2 linked regions of the Drosophila melanogaster genome follow. The protein of the gene in region 1 interacts with the protein of each later gene in a pairwise test. Each region holds a gene or a part of one and is shown on either strand. Other genes may lie near its edges.

Region 1 (9,348 bases):
CAGCGATAAAAATGCAAGAAAGAAATAAACTGCATTCAGGCGGCTCGTCATGCAACTGCTGCTGTTTCTCTTGCCGCTGGGGCTGCTGCTCCCCGATATCCCCTTTCTATCCTGGCCCCCTCTTCATCAAGAAGCCCCTTCACTTGTCAGTCAGTCGGGCTGGTTGGCAAAAAAAAAAAGGGAAAAAAGAGGCCAGCAGTTGAGTAAGTTTCAGTCGGAGGCACGGCTATTTCCAACCAAGGGCCGACTCTTTGTGGGGGTCTTTTGTCATGCGTGCTTGGGCGCAAATGAAGCGGCTGCAATCCCCTCGGCTAACCGTCAGCTGTTGCCTGCTGCACGCGCTGCATCTTTAAGATACAAATGCTGGGAAACAGCCTTTTTGCATTTCTGCACTGTGCGAAAAACTTATCGAATTCGGTGGTCTATGGTTCTTCAAATAGCCACAGTTTTTTGAAAACAATTAGCAAACATATTTTTAATATAAACCTTATTTAATACATTTCTGAGTTCAACGAGATTTTCTTTACACATAAAGAATAAAATCTTTTCTGAAAATATTATTATTATTAATCAAGCTGGAATTTTATCTTCAAGTATTACTTATTTTTTCCTACCCTATTTGCGCTTCTATTGTAATCATTATTTTACAATATATATAATTAGACTAGTATAATGTGTATATACTTTTATAAAACAAAATCTTTATAATGGTAGATAACTGATTTTTCTTCAGGTGCATTCATTAAATGGAAAGTGCTAGCGGCAATCATTTTTTGCACCTCCAAAAAGAAGAAAATGAGTATGTATTTTCCCTTTCTGTAGCGGGGATCGCTCGGCTTCCCCTCAATTGCTCTAAAAGAAAACTATATAAGAGCTCGGTGTTTGTTTATTTTTCAACTGAAATCTCTTCTTCACAGCTTTGTCCGCTTTCGGTCGTTGGTCTGCGCTATGCGGTTTCTTCGGCTGCTGACTGGAAGTCTTTGTTTTTGTTTATCGTCTCATGAAGACTTTCAAAACCCCCCAAAAAATGAGGAAACTCGCCAACTTCTTGTGATTGTTACTGGGAGTGGAGAAAGTTTTATTCGGCTCGCGTTTTCTGTGTATTATTTTTTCTTCTTTGGGCAATCTGTTTCATTAGCATAACAACAAATATTGTTCACATAGTAGCCAAAAAAGAGATTTGCACAACAGCCAAATCTTTGTCATCGAGCATTTCGTATTCGCTTTCAATTAATTGAGCTTATTCAAAGAGGTGAATAAGCTAGCTTTTCATGTTGTAACATTTTTTCTATGCAAATGTTTTGATTATTACATAAGGTCAAGTAGAATGCGATAAGGGAAAACGTGCTCGATATGGCTTGTTTACATCTGAATCAACAGAAAAAAACTTATATTTAAGCCCCAAGGCGCAAACGACAGTGGAGAAGTTCTGAGAACTTGAGTGTTTGTTTTTTTTTTTTGGCTGATGTCGGCATTCAAAGATATCGGATCGGTGGAATTAATGGGATATGTATATTGGAATGGGGTATGAAAAGCGTTAGAACATTTATAATTCGTGATGTCTTGAAAGAAATGCCAAATTGAATAAAATGTGTGGACTAAAACCTTTTATATTTGCATATATTAGACAAAAATATTTGTTTAATTTCCAAATTTGATTTATATTCAATTTTGCAAGAAGGGTAAAGACAATATATATTTAATGAACTTTTTGTGAAGAATTCTCAACGAAACAATGGGCCTGACTTTCTTTATGAATAAATGGAAACAATAAATGACAACAAATACAACAAATTTGTTAAAAATTAATTTGATCGCTAGAGAGGTCATATCGTTAAAGAAATACCAAGTCAGGGGAAGAAAACGTTGAAGAGGAATTTTAAAAGACCTCAAATTAATCACTTCTATGTGGTGCTCATGCCCCCCCCGCCCCAATTCCAAAGCCCCTTCATCTCAATAGCTACACTCAAACCCAATCAATTTCCAATTATCCAAGGCCCCGTACGAAATTGTTCATGTTCAACCAATTTCGAAATGGTTTGCTTCGGTTCGGTTCTTAACCCATGCTTACCCTCATTAACATGTCCTGATCGGGGCAGCGCTTCCTTTGGTGGTGCGGCTGCTGTTGTGGTTGTGAAATTATTCATCTCTCTCCTCCTCTCGCCACCCTTCTCTTTCTAACAGGCTCTGGCTGTCTCTTTCGGTGGCTCAAATCTCTATAGAATATCTGTATCTCGTTCTAAAACAGGTGTTTAAATTGGGTAGCTCAAGGACGCGCCTTCCACTCCACTGATTTTTAATTTATGTTGGTTTACTTGTTGAAGCGGGCTGGCAAAATAGATACATAGATGCGGCGATACAGAGCGTGAGTAAACTATATTTTCATCTAATTGCGTCGCTCTCGGTGCAACTATTTCACTTTCACACTTCCACACGAGATATAATGCTTATAATTCCACAATTTCCACCATCAACACGCGCGCAACAACGACAGCTGCAATTCAAAATTCGATTTGATTTAGGTATTGTATCCCAAAGATACGCAACGAACCGGCGGCCGTCGTTCCACGAAAGCAGCAAAACAGCTCATTCAACAGCGAAAGCCGCTCAGCGAATGGATGTTGTTTGACTTGGCCATACAGTCCAGCTAACTGGAAGACACAATAATACTGCAAGCGGCGCTGGAACTGGAAGCCGATACAAATGTATCTCGAAAGCGGCACTGCAATGGAAGAGAGAATAAGAGAGAGGAGAGAGAATAACTCAAAACAGTGCTGCCAAGTTTCAAAAAGATTTCAAATCTAAATACAAAAAGTTATAATTTTACTATTGATTTATAAATTCATTAAACGGTATATATGTACATATGGTTTTTTATTATTATTTAATTTTCCAAAATGAGTTGGGAGCAACGAATTTCAGTATTTCTTTTATTTATGTATATGGCATTTGCTGTTTAGTAAAGACATACACCATTGCGTTAGCTAAGCGAGGTTTCAATCCTCAACAAATGCTACACTTAAAAAATTCCAAAATCATATTTAATTAGATAAAAATTGTGTAGCTAGAAACTTGTTTATAAATATCACGACTGCTAGTTAGTTGTGAAAGTAAGGTATTATAATTAAAATTTAAATAATAGGTAATGTTGTAAAAAAAACTTTAAACGTATAGTTCATATTGGGATACTGGGAATTTCAATAAAAGTTATCTTAAACATATTGTCGTTTATTCATATAAAACTTTATTATTATTTTAATTGATAACTTGGGTAATAAAGTGAGTGAGCAAGTAGTCTCTATAAAATACTTCTTGAGGCACTACCTTCTCGTTGTTATTTATTTTTATAAGTCAAATCGCAGCCGAAATTTAAGAAACTGAAGCCGGGTTCAAAGTATGCCGAAGTCGGGAGTATTTCACTCATAGCGCAAAATAAACAGTCGATCGCAGACACACAAATACTTGTATTACTTGCCACAGCATAGATATACAGATACTTTTGCATCTACAATCGACGTGAAAAAGGTAAACAAAAGTCAAGTCACGGTGCGAATGAGTGTGTATTTGAGATAGATGCCTCGGTGCGAGTGCTGAGTTGTTGGTAACAGCGAGCGATCGCGGCATTCCAGTCAGTAACGAGTTGAATGTGGCTCAAAACGCGTCGCTGAACGATGGCTAAAAACGTTTAAAGTTAAAAAGCGTATTAAATCATATAATATATAATATATTGGTGTAAAAAATACAGAATTAAACCTAATAATTAAGTGTCCGGACATCCCCTAGAAAAATGTGTGAAAATGTTGAGAAACTAACCGGAATACTATGAAAACTGCTGTAAAACTTGGCTAAGATAAACTCGTTTGCACCAATACACATGTGATTATACGTATAAGGGCAACGCAAAATACTCAGACTCCAGAAGCCAGCAATTAAAAAAGAAGTTAGTCAGTTAGCGTCTGGGCCGCGTTACTGGTGTATGAATCATACTTTGGATACGTTTAAAAATAACAAAACAAAAACCTTAAAACGAGGAAAAAGTTGTAACAGTGCTAATGTAAACTTCGATCAAACTTAGCGGAACGAGCTCGCTACAAAACCAAATACCCATAACAAGTAAATTAAGCACACATTATAAAATACCTCAAATGTCGGTCAGGAAGTTGAGTGCCCTATCGCTCTCCATTGGTGGAGTTCCGTTGATTCCAAGTGTTTCCTTGGTAGCTGCGGCCAATGGAGAGAGTAGGGATTGCCATGGCACGATCTGTCATCCGGTCAATGAATTTTGCTATGTTGCAACGGAGAGATGTCATCCGTGCATCGAGGTCTGCAATAATCAAACCCACAACTACGATGCGTTTCTGTGCGCCAAGGAATGTTCAGGCAAGTAGAATTCAAAGATTTCCAAAAGATTACCTCAGATTAACTCACGATCCATAGGGTAATTTGGCGGGTTCTATGCAAGTTCAGGTTTTTCCAGCTGGACTTAATTGTATTTCAATTACAGTTGCTTCAGCGGGTGATTAACTCATCACCCATGAGTTGACTAAAATAGGGGGTATTTTAAAGATTTAAAGAATGTACATTTTTATAATAAAAATGATTTGTTGAAACTAGCTTTATAATAATTTTTTTAGTGTAAAAGATTTGTAAAAGTTGTAATGGCAAGATAAGGCCAGTTGCATTTGCAATTTTTATCTGACTATGTACAACGAGTTATCAAAAACGTTCCCGTGTTTTATCAATTATTATTTACTTAAAACGATAATAGTAGCGATATTATTTAATTTCTTTATCAACCCACAGCTTACAAGACATTTGAGCCGTTAAAAGCCGAGATGCTGGACATCCAGAATACCCAGCAGCTGATCCTCTTGCTGCTGACTATCCTTCTCGTCCTGATTGCGCTTCGTTGCGCGTTTCAGTTCCTTCGATGGCTGATAGGCAATCGGTGCTTCCAGAAGCTGATGCGCCGTCTCCAATCGAAGGCCTACCCTCATCCGGCAACTGCAAATGGAAAGGATCTTAATGCTACCACCATACAGAATCTGAATGCCATTAACCATCCCGGCAGCGACCTTGAGCGGGCACAATCACAGATCTACAGTGTGGCAGGTAAGTGTAAGGATCTACCTGTCCGGGTTTTTCCAATAACACTTCCCAATGTACACATTATACCTGCAATGATTTATTACAGGTGCTGCCGAGGGTTCCGTTGTGACTATGACAACGCCGGTGAGCACTCGCTATCCGGCGGAAAACAGTACCACGCCCACAACGGTTATGACGGAGATCGGATACGGATACGATAATCAGGCCATGGTCGTAACGCCGGTTTCCGAGAAACCCTCAGCAGCGACGATTCCCGTCGCTTTCTAAGGCCATACAAGTACTTGAAAACTCTTACTTCTAAATCAGTCCAGCGAAAGCAAAATGTGCACCACATTAAAACTAGTGATATTTTTCATAGTTATTAAGCAAGAAGTCTTCTATCAATATGGAATATATACGCATATCTGTAGAATATAAACCTTAATTAATAGGTTTATATATGTTGGGACATATTTTTGATAACCCAATGTGGCCCTGAAAACTTATATTCGATCTGTATGAAATTATATGTAAAGGAACTTTTTTCTCTTTACTTTAATATTTTCCTTAAAGCAACGAAAATACTTACAACATCACAACTATGAACGAAGAGACATATTTATAACTGTTAAGAAATATATTTATAATGTTCAATTTATTATCATGTTAAGTTTTTTATGTGGAAAAGTTTTGTAAATGGTAATATGGGGGAAAACCAATTCATTCGCAATCACCACAAACGTTTCTCAACACACTTCCATCCGGTTAAAATAATTACGAATGCGAAATAAATCTTCCTGAAAATTTTTTGAGTTTTGAAATAAGACACGGGAACTACGCTTAAAAGTATTGTCATTTATTGTAAAAAGTATTCCACGTTGGCAAACACAATTCTAAGGCTAAGTTAAGTTGGCTTTTTGAGTATAACTCTTGTTCTCGTCCTTAATGCTAATCGTTTGTATATGACACGCCAGATATGTATGTGTGCTTGTTTCCAAACTATAATTAATGTTTTCGTATATAAAATGCTTCACTTTTCCTAACGAATCTCATAAATCAGCCTTAAACGTAAGCTTATATTTAAATAAATAACCTAGGACTAATTCCGATCGAATTGGAAACGCTTGTATTGATCCCTTTATTGCAGAACATCCTTCTAAACCTTACACCCAATACTGATTCCGCCTAAGTAGTGGATTTGTTGGCGGGGCCGAGGGCGGTGAGCTGACCGATCCGGAAATACTTTGTGGCACAGAGGCATAGCCAGCAAAATCATTCGCCATATCGCAGGACGAACTCCAGGCGTCGTGCTCCATGTGATAAGGATTATATCTCTGCGGCAGCATCATTTGCTGCGGATCGCACTGATCGTCCGTCTCCTCCTCATCGGGATCGTAGTCGGGATACTCATGTTTGTACGACTCCACGGGTATTATCTTGCAATGGGGAATATTGCTGAAACCCGGTAACGGTGTTGAATTTCCTGTGGCCGGCACGGAATCCGCCTCGGAACTTGCGTAATGGTGGCCATGATGATGGTGCAGATGGTGTTGCGGACTCACAGAAGTCAAGTCTGGTGGACACGGTAGCGCCGGCGGCTGATCCTTGGATATATCTGCCTTGTGCTTTCTCAGTTTCCTGATCTTTAATATCAACAGCACGATAAGCAGGCATATCAACACGATAAAGATGGCACATCCTATGGCTAAATAGTTAATGGATAATCCTGCACTGCCCAAATGAACCGTCTCGGTTTCCTCAACACGACTTCTATACTCAATCGATACGGTGGCCTGTGCCGGCTGAACTGTTTTGATTAGCAATTGATAATCAAAACTGTCATGATCAGCTTCTGTTTCCTCGACCGATTCATGGGGCACAAAGTAGACGACGCCACTTCGAAGTTCTTTATAAGAGAATATATTCGTGGATCTATCACTCTGGCCATCGGTTGTCAGTCCCGTGCTTCGGATTATCTTTCTGATTTGCCCAGTTGATGGCATTCTAGTGATCACAAACTTGGGGTTGAATTTATTTAGTTTCAACGACAAAGGATTATCGTTGTCCAAAGAGGTAATAAGCTTTATTTTACCACCCGAGGATTCAGCTTCCTTCATTACTATATCATTGATTTGTATTACAGGTTCCACCTCCATTACCACATCGACCTGAGCAACATAATTGGTGCCCGGAACATAGGCACTCACCTGGAAGGAGTCATTCGATCGGTTCAGGTCTGTTTGCATATAGCTTATCTGTGATGTTTCCAACTGTTGTTGCGTGAACCTCAGAGTTGGTTGATGTTTGTACACTATAATGCCAAAAAGCGGCGAGTTTGTGACGTTGTAAGACAACCTTTCCATATGCACATTTGTGGACACTCCAATATGATCCAATCTCATTGGAGCAGTAGTAGCTCCTTGCTGAACCTTCACTGGTGCTTGCATTGCTGACGGTTGCAGATGAATAGAATCTATTTTAATGGTAAATATTTCGTATGCAGGATTTGATTGCCCGTCGGATACGGTGAAGCAAAACGTCGTGGACTGTGGCATTCCAAAGTGGACATATATAATGCGATCGTTGTTAATATCAGCTTGGGTAAACTGATTGGAGAAAGCTAATAGATCCTCAGGGCGTCCATCGTTTGTGATCTTTCTAAGTACCCCCAAAGTAGGACCACTCATCACATCGTATATAATTTCTTCAGGAGGTGTATCTGCATCTTCGGTTAGCAAATCATTTCTGGTGATAGTCCGATTCTCACCCTCAACGACTGTCATTTGGGGCAGGTGGGTGACCAAATGGAAGGGTTGATCGTTAATGGGGTTGATGGAAACGGGAATTGTCAAATTGCACAGAAAAATGTTCCTGAAATGAAAACGTATCTTATTACAATAACTGTTTACTTAAGTGAAATTTAAGGAAGACTCACCCTTGTGTCAGGTAAACCGACATCAGTATAGTATCCTCCAAAGTGTCCGAATGATCGTGTATGTAGTAGACTTTTTTGGTAAAGAAATCGCTTGGGTGGTATCTCTGCATATGCTTGAACTCATGACCCAGACCAATATTGCCGTGTGTGGGTTTTTGGATGGCTTCTATGAACAACTCAGGGTTATTTATGCCAGCTTTCGTTTTCAGATACTCCAAAATCTTTGAGAAATCCAACTTAATAGGCACCGAACCGCCTTCGTCTACATTGAGCTTATTAACTGGTAGAAATCTGAGTAAGCCTCCTGAGGAAACCGATATCTCAATGTTGAATTTCTGATTCAATAGACGATCGCTTCTTTCAGCAACCACATCGAAGTAAAATGAATCATTGGTCCTGAACTCCATGATAACAGCTGTGTGTTCATAAAATATATGCCCATTGTCTACATCGTTTTGGGTAAATTCACTGACTTCCTTCGTGAAACCATTATCTATAAACTCATTCACAATGCGACCCAGACTTGGGGGAACTGTAATGTTATATCTAATCTCTCGTTCCTCATCTGAACATTTAAAGTGCAAGTAGTCACGCAGAATTTGTTTTTTGGTTAATGGAAAAACATGCAGATTTTCATTGTGCTCGGCCAGAATTTCAATCGGCTTGATTTCAATATTCAACATTTGGGTGGTGGTGTTAAATAGCCCATCTGTTACCACAAAGGATAGTTCGTTTCTCCTGGAGTTGGAGTCGTGCATGAAATATATTTCTTCGAGGTTTATTTGAGCCTGGGTGAAATGTTCGATTTTTTGGTGAGGTGCTGACTTCCTTGCCAAGTAGCCGCCGTATATGTGATTCACCACAAATGTAAGATTCTCCGGTGGAGTGTCGTAGTCTTGAGCCACTGAAAAGCATCATAACAAAAATGAAACATTTAAATTTTGAGTTAGGTATACAATAAATTTTCAGCTTACACAGGTCAGTATTTTTGATGACATAGCGTCCACCGTTCCACACCTGCAGGCCCGTATTGGTGACCATCATGGGCTCCTCGTCGTTCACTTGAACCACAGCGAATTCCAGCTCGAAAGGAACACTCTCCTTGTTCCTGGCCATGGCCACCAATGTAATGCTATCGGTGGCATTTTCGCTGCCATTGTGCACATACTGTATGCTACCCTGTTCGAGTTGTTTTTGAGTGAATCTTTTGACCTTTGAGTTTCCAGCCAAAACGTGACCAGAGCTCGGTGTAATGGTTACTATGTACTCCAAAATCTTTCCGCGGTAGTATTCCGAATAAGGCTGTATATCAGTTGGATTTAGTT
Region 2 (9,314 bases), on another chromosome or scaffold:
CTTGCTGCAATGGCATTTTGTTTGTTGTTTGTTTTTTTCGGGCTGTTATTAAGACGTCATCGGGGAATGGAAGCACATATATGTATAGATACATAGATGGATTTTACAAGAGTTGCATCATTTTGGAGCGGCGGCACCCCTAGAAAACTCCAGCAGCATTCTGCAACGCCCACTCGTGGGTCGATGATGAGGTTTGGCTGGCTTCCTACTTATGGATGCCATGTTGTCTTAATTTATGGAATTTTTGCACATTTTTTTTGTTGTGCCGTATCTCACCGCAGCTGCTTCCCAGCAATTACCAGAGCAGCACAACCGAAAAAAGTCCCCTACATAGATGTTAGATTAACATGCACTTGCAACACACGACACGACTTCGCGTCGCGACTCGTTCAGTAGAACAACAAACATTTGGTTGACCTTTTCATCGCCATCTACATCTGCATCGCTTTTGCTGCTCTGTTGCATGTTGCATGTTGCTGTGCGGTTTTTGCTTTTTTTTTTGTGTTTCCAAGCTGCTCTCCCCCTCGTTTGGGGGCATTGAAATGCAAATTTGGCAAAATAAAAGTTAATGGGCCAAGTGAATGGCAGGCGGCGGCGGGAGAAGAGAGCTTGCAATGGGAAATGACTTTTATTGCAGTTTTTCAGTTCGCCGCTTGAGTCTTTTGTTGCAACTTGCAACTAGCAACTGGCAACTTGCAACTTGCTGGCAACTCAGATTCGATTTCAATCAGCTCTTTGCGCTTTCCTTGTGCAATTTGCACCCAATGTTTCCAGCTGTTTGTCACAGAGTCACGTGCCCGCTGGATACAAGGACAATGCCAAAGATCAAAGGTTGGCCAGCTTGTCTCACGACTTGGGCCTCCTTGGGGATTCACCTGTGATAAGTCAATTTCTTTTCGCCTGTTTATCGGCAGATCTTCAGCTAGTATGTTCCTCTTCTACACTACATTAACCCTATTTAACCCGAATTAAATAACACACTTCAATGCACAAAAGCCGCCGGCTGTCCATAAAGATATTAACCTTTCAAATACCCAAAAAACGGGTGAGAAAAAACTTATAAATTATATGCTACGATCGAATACTTCAAGTAGTTGTTTATGACCAACTATGCATTTGCAAGCTGTTCATGTGCAATTACTTAAAATGTTATAAAAACTATGTGGGAGCTTTTTTGTCTCATAAAAACCGATTATTAGGTAAATGTGGTATTATGGTTGAATTATGGATTTAATTAGTTTTTAGTTTCTATGCTTATAGTTTTGGTATAACCATTTGATGTATAACAAAAAATCCAAATCGAATGAAAATTATGAGCTTTTTTTAAGCCAAAATTGTTGTGCAGAAACCACAACTACCGAAATTGTTGCACACTAAAAACCAAGTACAACTTTTTCCAGAACTATTTCTCTGCCATTTAAATGCTAGAATTTCGGTTAAAAACCCCAGTGAACTAATTTTCCAATTGCCAGCTGTTGTGGACCCACAAAAGCGCCGACGAAATAACACTTGCAGCCAGAATAGTGCAATTAAAAATTCCTTGCCTAAGGGAAACGGAGGAGAAATGCCTCTTATTCACATTGCGCATACGCCACGTTGGACGCTCTGGTTTTGGTTGGGCAATTAGCGAATTCAGAGGCGGAGGCTGGGCTTTTGTAATCAGCTGAAATTTCGATTTAATTAGATTACCACACAAACACACACACACACACACAAAGGCGCAGATGCTTGGCTGGTTACCATTTCCCCGCAGAAGCCCCTCATCCAACTCATACTACATATATGCTGCTGCACTTGCCGCTTGCTCAAGCGTCATTAATTTTTTGCCATTTGGGTTTTCTTCGCTTGGATTTTTTTTCCCCCCCGCATTCGAGCCATTGCCAAAGACAATAAAACCGCACAAAGCTACAGCAAATATCGGTGAAGCCGCAAAATTGCATACTTCCAAGGCAGAAGAATGGGTCTGAGCGCCCATTCGACGACCCCCGGGCTCAATTACCTAAGCACGGATCAGCTTTGAGGCAATGCCAATCGGCATCAAGCGAAATCTGGCAAATCTGCCAAATTATTTCAATTAAAATTGAATTTGTAATGCAAGGGTAGAGCCTGTGCGAAATGACGAATGGGGGAATACGCTGCTATAAATTGGAAGTTTATAAAAATAATAATGGGCTTGTTGTTTGAAATATTTGGATTCACGGATGTGCAACTTCTATTGATAATTTGATAATTTGTAGAATTTTAGCAGGAGCCCAACGAAATGCAAATATCCCTTTGAAATACCCTCCACACATCCAACATTCATTGGGCAATCGCTTACACTCGAATCGCCAGCAGTGCAGCGATGAGCCAATGAAAGACTTTTGGCCAGACATGCGATATATTGGCCATAATCAGGCGGCTCTAATCAGAATCGGAGGCAGCATTGCATTGACCCATGCCGGCATTCACAATTGCCCATTCGCTGCGGCCGGCGAATGCAACAATTCAGCATTTGTAGAATGCAGAGTGCGGAATGCAGAATGCAGAATGCAGAATTAGCAGCTTCGACTTTCGGCTTTTGCCAGCTCATCATCATCATCAGCAGCAGCAGCAGCAGCAGCACCATCATCGGACGGACTCAAATATCAAACTGTGAATATTTTAGGTTTGTCATTTGAAATTCAAAAGCGTGCCCGAATGAATGCCAGTCAATGCTACCAATCGTTTCTCGAATTCTTTGCCACCAGTTCTGCAATTTTCGCGTGCGAAAATGAGCAGCTGGAATCATGGGCATTAATATGCAGCAGCAGTTGGGCATTACTAGCTGGTGTGGGTGCTCGACGTATTCGTACTCTGTACCCTATAGTTGGCTAGCTGGGTAGTTGGCCAGTTGAGTCTCCCCCGGGCTGAAATTAACATGTAAAACATGCTCGCCCCGATGTTCTCAAAAGCCCGTGCACTCGACTGGCCAGCGGCCATTTGTCTATCGAGTGTCTGCCTTTTGGTGGGCGGATGTGGCAGTGGGTGGTTGGGCTCCTGGTTTTTATTTTTGGCTTGGTACGCTTCCGTGCCTGCTGTTATTCGCCCAGTTCGGGCCAAAACAAGAATGGTAAAAAAAAAGGAGAAGAAAATAAGGGGAATATAGCGGCATTGGGGAAATGGAGAATCGCTGGTGAAAAGTCAAAAAGTTACAAGCGGCAAATTACACGCGTCTGGCTGGAGTTCTACACTCTGCTCTCAAACTCTATTCCTTTGCTATCGTCTGGTGTACCTTTTGGAAGTTATCTGCTTGGCAGACCAGACGCATCAGAGATGGAGGAGTGCACTGCGAGAAAAACCGCTGAAAAAAAACATGGCTAATAGAAGAACATTTAAGATCTAACACTTTGGCCTCAAACATTGCATATATATTGCGTTTATTTTAACTACTAGTTATGCTCGTCCATTAATCACGATTACGTTAATCGTAAAAATTCATTCGAGTAATTACATGATGTATGACCAATTAAATTTTAATTAGATATTGATTATGTCTTCTTTGAAAATCTTCATACATTTGAATGGCTTTCATTGAGTACCTATTAATATAATTTTATATCTCAATCTTTTTAGACACTTTTGGTTTTTGAAGAAATCTAATTTTTCTCCTGTGTGCTCACGTAACGCGGAATGGGCGGAGGTACATTGGATGGATTCCAGACAGTGTGGTCTGCCGTCTGGACCTGCATTGCATCCAAGTGTCGCACCAACAATTTAACACGCCCCAGTTACAAAAAATAAAAGGACATCAAGGAGCAGCCAGCGAAACTCGCGTCTGTTTTATTTTGTTGCCTGCTTAAGGGCGTCGTCCCAAAACGCGATTCAAAATGCTTTAACAATGGCGAACAAGTGAAAGTATTTCGCAGTTTACAAGTGTGCTCTTGATTGCGGGTTAACTTCTGGACTTCCAGGAAAAGTATTCAATACTGTAATTTCACAATAAAATTGTGAGAATATGGAGAATTTCCAAAGCGAAATGTGTAAATTAATAGGTAACAGAAAGGATTTTGGATCACCTAGAAATTTCTTAGTTGCACAACTCTTTCTGTGTCAATTTACAGCAATTTGAAACAAATTATATAAATATTTTTACGAAACTATATTAGTAAAGTATAAAGTATATTTTTCAACAATTTGATGAAAAAAAACTTGTGTCAATTTAGCACCAGCTAAGAAAAGTTTGCCTACAAAATAAAGTCAAGTTGGAGCCTTATATATTTGCAATTGTTCAAGGGGAGCAAAAAGGTTTGCAATTTTCCTCAGATGATGCCTAAATACGAAAGGGGAAATATATTACCAACATGTGTCCTCCGCCTTACAACCTTTTAGCCTTCTCCGAAACTCAAGTGTTTAGTTAGGAACAATCAGGGAGTATTGCTTAGATTTGGGGCGTATTTTACGTGGCACTTGGCAAACGCAGATGTTGCCAAATATTGAATGCGTATCCATGGAGGAGTACGTACAAGTACATATGTATATATATATATATATATTAACCAGAGCGGAGTGGAGCACTTAAGTGTCTTTGATTATTTGCAATTTGTTCGATTCGGCGGGGTTACTTTGGCCCCTTCGCCACTTGACTTTCGTGTGTGTGTGTGTGTGGACTTGGGTTTTGATTATGATGATGATGATGAGAGGCTCTGTGGCAGACGTGTGGCAAGTTATGCAATCATTTTCGTTGCCATTGACGGCAAGTGTTACCAAAAAAAAACGAAAAAAAAGGAAGGCAAACAGTTTGCCAGGCACTTGAAACAACCAGTTTGATGGGTAGTTGCCTTCAGTTCTCCTAGCAAATCTCATTTAAACTTTCCCCAAAAGCCGCAGCAGAAAAATGACATTGTAGACGAAAAAGGACACTGAGTGACCACGGGTCATTTTTCCCTGCCAGCGATAAACAAATTTGACATATAACAAGCTTAGCTTGCTGGCCTTTCCACACACATACACATACATGCAAACATACATACATATATAGTTTCGCTTTAGCCAAAGGACACGCCTGCGAAATCTCATATGATTTGTTTGGCCAACTGATTTATGTAGGCTTAGCTATGTTTTTTTTTTCCAGGCCCAGAAATACATGTCCTTGTTTTATGTACGTATGTATAAATACTCACAAGCAGGACGAACGACTTGAAGGACATCATTTTGTTAGTTGAGTTTCGATTTTACGTTCACAGACGATGGCAAAAAGTAGTGTATCCACAAACGCCGCTGGCTGAAGTTGAAATTGAATTGAATTAAATTAAATTCATTAGAGTTGTCAATTATTTCATTTATATTGTTTCGAGTTAATCGAGTGTCTTTTGTGTTATTTTTATGATTATTGCACACTATTTAATTTGTAGTCCTTCGCTTGCCACAATAGTTGTATTAACTCTTACTTTCACCGGGCGGGGGAGGGTTTTATTTTTTTATCACCGGTTGGATTTCTCAACTAGGAGGGGGCCTCAGTTAAAGAGGAGGTGGTTTTATCTTTTTAGGTTCGGCTAGATTGATTTCCTAGACAACCGCACGAAGTACACGAACGTTTTGAATTAGGTTAGACAATGGAGATGCGCTTGCTTTTTATAATAAACGCTCAAAGACGCTGGCAGCGACGTCGGCGGCGACGGCGACTGCGGCAGCGGCGGTAGCAGCGGCGTTCGCGTTGCCAACTGCACCTAAAAGTAACGAAAAAGCGGTTTGAACAATTGAGGCAAGTCTAGCGCCTAACTTCTAGATCATCTGCCTCCGTGGAGCTGGAGCCAAGAGCATCCACATCCACGAGTCTCTCAGAATGGCCCAAAGAGAGCGCAGCGTTGCTCTCACCGTTTTGGCCAAGTCTTGGTGTTGAGGTGGTGAAAAATGTTGCAGATCATCGCCGTGGCACGATCATTACGATGATGGGTAACGAGATGATAAATGAATGGCTGGCACGATGATGATGAAGCTCGGGCGGATGTATAACAAGATGAGTTCGAGTGGAGAGCCTGCAACGCCCCGAATGACTTCATTAAATACTCGGCCAAATTTGATATTTAAGCCAAGCTTTTATGAAGTCTGGGCCCTCGGGCGATGCAGTTGCCATCGAGACGATACGAAAATGTCACTGGGAATGTCAGATGATAGGTTTCGTTTTAGCCTCCAAAGATACAGTCGCCCTTTTTCGAAATATCTATATATTTATTTTTGTTTGTTTTTTCTTCTTTTTTTTTTTTTTGCCATTTGGCCTTTGGGAAAGCATCAGAACATAGAATAAGTTTGGTGAGAAGTACGTGATGCGGTTGCCCGGGGAAAATTGCACAAGCTGCACAAACGTGTTCATGTGGCGTCCCAATTTCCCGCAGCACCTCTGCCAAAATGCAATCTATGACGTGAGGCTCATGCCAAAGATCCGTAGCCGAGGCCCCGAAACTCATCCATTGGCCATTGCACAAGGCTGGCAGACGTGTCGAGTGCCTTTGGGCCAACTTCCTCCTTCCAACCAACATCAACCGCATGGCTCCTTTTCTTCCGTCAGGCCTCAAATCCCATCCCATAACCAATTAACCTTGAATGTATCACAGCGCCTCTGTACGAGCCGAGATTAAATAACAATTAAAAGCAATCCGATGACTGATTTCAGAGTTTCTTCACATTTTTATTGACCACTTGCGAGGTGGCGATGTGTGCGTGCGTGCGATATTAAAATTAGATATTGAAATTATTATGGGGAGCAATCAATCGAAAATAGCTACACTTACAATCAACCCATCTTATAATCAGTGATGCGAAAATCTTGTACCAAAATCGAAATGTTATTACCAATTACACTGGGCTATGACTAAAACTATTATTAATATAATATTATATATTTGTAATATTAGATATGGTATTAGTTTTCAATAGCTGCAATCTTAAAGATACTCTAATATCTCAATATCTTATTTTTATAAGCAATTTTATTAGATTTTATTAGTTTGGTACCCATTTTCCAAGGTAACATTTCGTGTACCTAAGATGTTACCTCTATCAGCGCCGCTTACACCTGCTGGCAATCTTCAATGGACCGCTGTGAAAAGTAATTGAACAACTTTTGGTTACTTTTAACTTTAGATTTCCGTGACACTTGAGCTGCGGATACACATGTGCGCGCGTGTGTGTATGTGGTGTGTGTGTATCTCAAACGGTCTTCTTCACGCGGAGGCGAACGTACTGTCAAAACGATGTCTTAACAACATAATACCCGCCGACAATCGGGGCCAACTGGCAACTGAAAACTACCAACTGGTCCGATTGTTCGGATTGTTGGGATTGTTACCCATATCGCAAACTCTGGGGGCAAATTGAAATTTCTTTTGAGACGCTCTCGAAATCAAGTGCAATCGTTGGTAGCTGCGATTACGAAAGGATTTCGACTTAAAATGTAATTAGAGCAGTGTGATGGGGCGAATTCGATATTATATAAGGCCGCGCTGAAAATTCCCTTTTTGATTTGTTCAACAATAACTTGACATCAATTGGGCAACTTTTGTTTCGCTGTCATTGCCTTTCGGCCGGCAGCTGTTGCCACCGTTGCAGTCTCGGTTTCTTCGGCATTTCGATCATTTTTCAAAACGTCCAAAGTAATAAAGTTTTGCAAATTTCCCGCTTTTAATTCATCAAGTGGACACTCGAGGGCTCCGGCTCCAAAGCAATGCGAAACGGAAGCAAAACTTAGTCAAACATTTCGTGGGCTTCAATAGCCATTTGTGCATTATTTCACTTATTTTTTCTCGTTTCTGTCGCCCAGCTGTTGACATTTTAAACTTTATTGAATTGTTGCAGGCAAGTGGAAGACGAAATAAAAAAAAAATTAACATTTAAAAGAACAGACTCAAATTCTTCGGCAGAAGCATTTAAGATGATTTTTTCCTCGAATTTGTTTTGCCCATTTCGTGCAACATTCAGGCGAATCACCTGTTGATGCTTGTTGCACGTTGTTGCTGCTGCCGCTGCTGCTGTTGCTGCTTTTAGTGTTGCAGTTGCTGTAGAACCAAAATAAATTCCAATAGCCCCAGTCAGGCGCACCTTTTTCAAGCTAAAAATGAGTGAATTAGAATAGCCAACTATGTAATTGCCGCATTTTATTGCCACCAGCATTGGATGTTGCTGCTGCTGCAGCAGTTGTTGCTGTTGCTGCTGCCATCGCTGGCATTGTTAGTGTTGTCGCGACCATTGTTGCAACTAAGCGCGGTGTTTTTTTTGTTGCAGCGGCAACTTGATGTTGCTGCCGCCATGGCCCTCTGAATTTGGTGTGAGAAGTGGTCGAAAACGCGGCGATCTTTGTTTTATTTTCCAGTTTTGAGTCCAGACGGATGATTTGCATTTATTTCGGCGCGGAGGCGCGTTTCTTACCATTTGCTATTTATAGACTAAATGTCTTGGACTTCTGATGGAATAAATGGAGTTTTCGATAGACTCGCGGTGAAGGCGCATCAAATGTCGTCCGATTCGCTTGGCATTTCCCCCACGATCATCGATTTTCTAACTGGCATTCGAAGTACAGGTAAAATAATTTGCATAATATATTTCTTAAATTTTGTTTTGTACTGTTCCTGCTTGTATTAATTTCTGCTGTGCTCATTAAAAACTTGTAGTGTAATGATCGCCTGAAAGTTGCTAACGGCTTCTTTGATTGCTTTCATTACGGCCATCTCCTTTTGGCACTTCCTTCTGATTTGATTTGATCTCTTTGCCGGAGTTTCCTGTTGATTGCTCTCATTATTCCAGCGAGCAACTGTGATAAGTTTTTCCAGCTATGCTGCTGCTACTCCTGCAACAATCTTGGGGCTAAAGTCGAGCTTTCCCTGTCACTTGCCACACTTGCCACCATTTTTCTTAATGGAAATTTTCATGCTCTTGGCTTTTCTTTAGACAAATTAAGCGAATTTTTTCTGCGTTCACACCTTCCCCAACTGGTGCATCCTCATTGTCATCGTCATCTTCTGCACTTGCGTTCATTGCACCCTCAAAAAAAAAAGCATACACACACACACACAGAAAAGAAAAAGAAAACGGATAAAACATAAGACCTGAGGAAAGAAGAATGAATTCGAGGCAGAAAAAAGTTGTGGAAAACTTTGCACCTAACATAAATCACATCTCAGACCAAGTCAACCGCCCCTTGGCCACGCCCATTGTCAGTGTGTGTGTGGGGCTGCATTTGCATATTCCAATTTTGCATTTAATCAATTTACGCCCACCCACCCACACGCAAAAACACTGCGTTACAATGGAGGATGGCAACTCTGGCAGCTAGACAATTACCAGCATTCCCCGACATCGCC

Evidence for each region.
Region 2: the proteins of grnd (region 1) and Cpr50Cb interact in a two-hybrid assay, tested with the Drosophila melanogaster proteins (one large-scale study listed by BioGRID).

The regions. Positions count from the first base shown.
Region 1 is NT_033779.5:18,481,823-18,491,170, forward strand, and holds grnd (grindelwald), read left to right. Parts: upstream 1-3,594; 5' UTR 3,595-4,145; coding exon 4,146-4,380; intron 4,381-4,803; coding exon 4,804-5,112; intron 5,113-5,194; coding exon 5,195-5,376; 3' UTR 5,377-6,199; downstream 6,200-9,348. Other genes in the region: CG10283 (uncharacterized protein), read right to left, coding at 2,072-2,147; kon (kon-tiki), read right to left, coding at 6,252-7,959, 8,024-8,927, 8,998-9,348. UniProt on the Drosophila melanogaster protein: Acts as a receptor for TNF-cytokine egr. Plays a role in activation of JNK signaling and is required for egr-induced apoptosis, including in wing imaginal discs during development. May also play an egr-independent role in cell proliferation.
Region 2 is NT_033778.4:13,791,033-13,800,346, reverse strand, and holds the start of Cpr50Cb (cuticular protein 50Cb), read right to left. Parts: upstream 5,571-9,314; 5' UTR 5,409-5,570; intron 5,243-5,408; 5' UTR 5,172-5,242; coding exon 5,142-5,171; intron 1-5,141.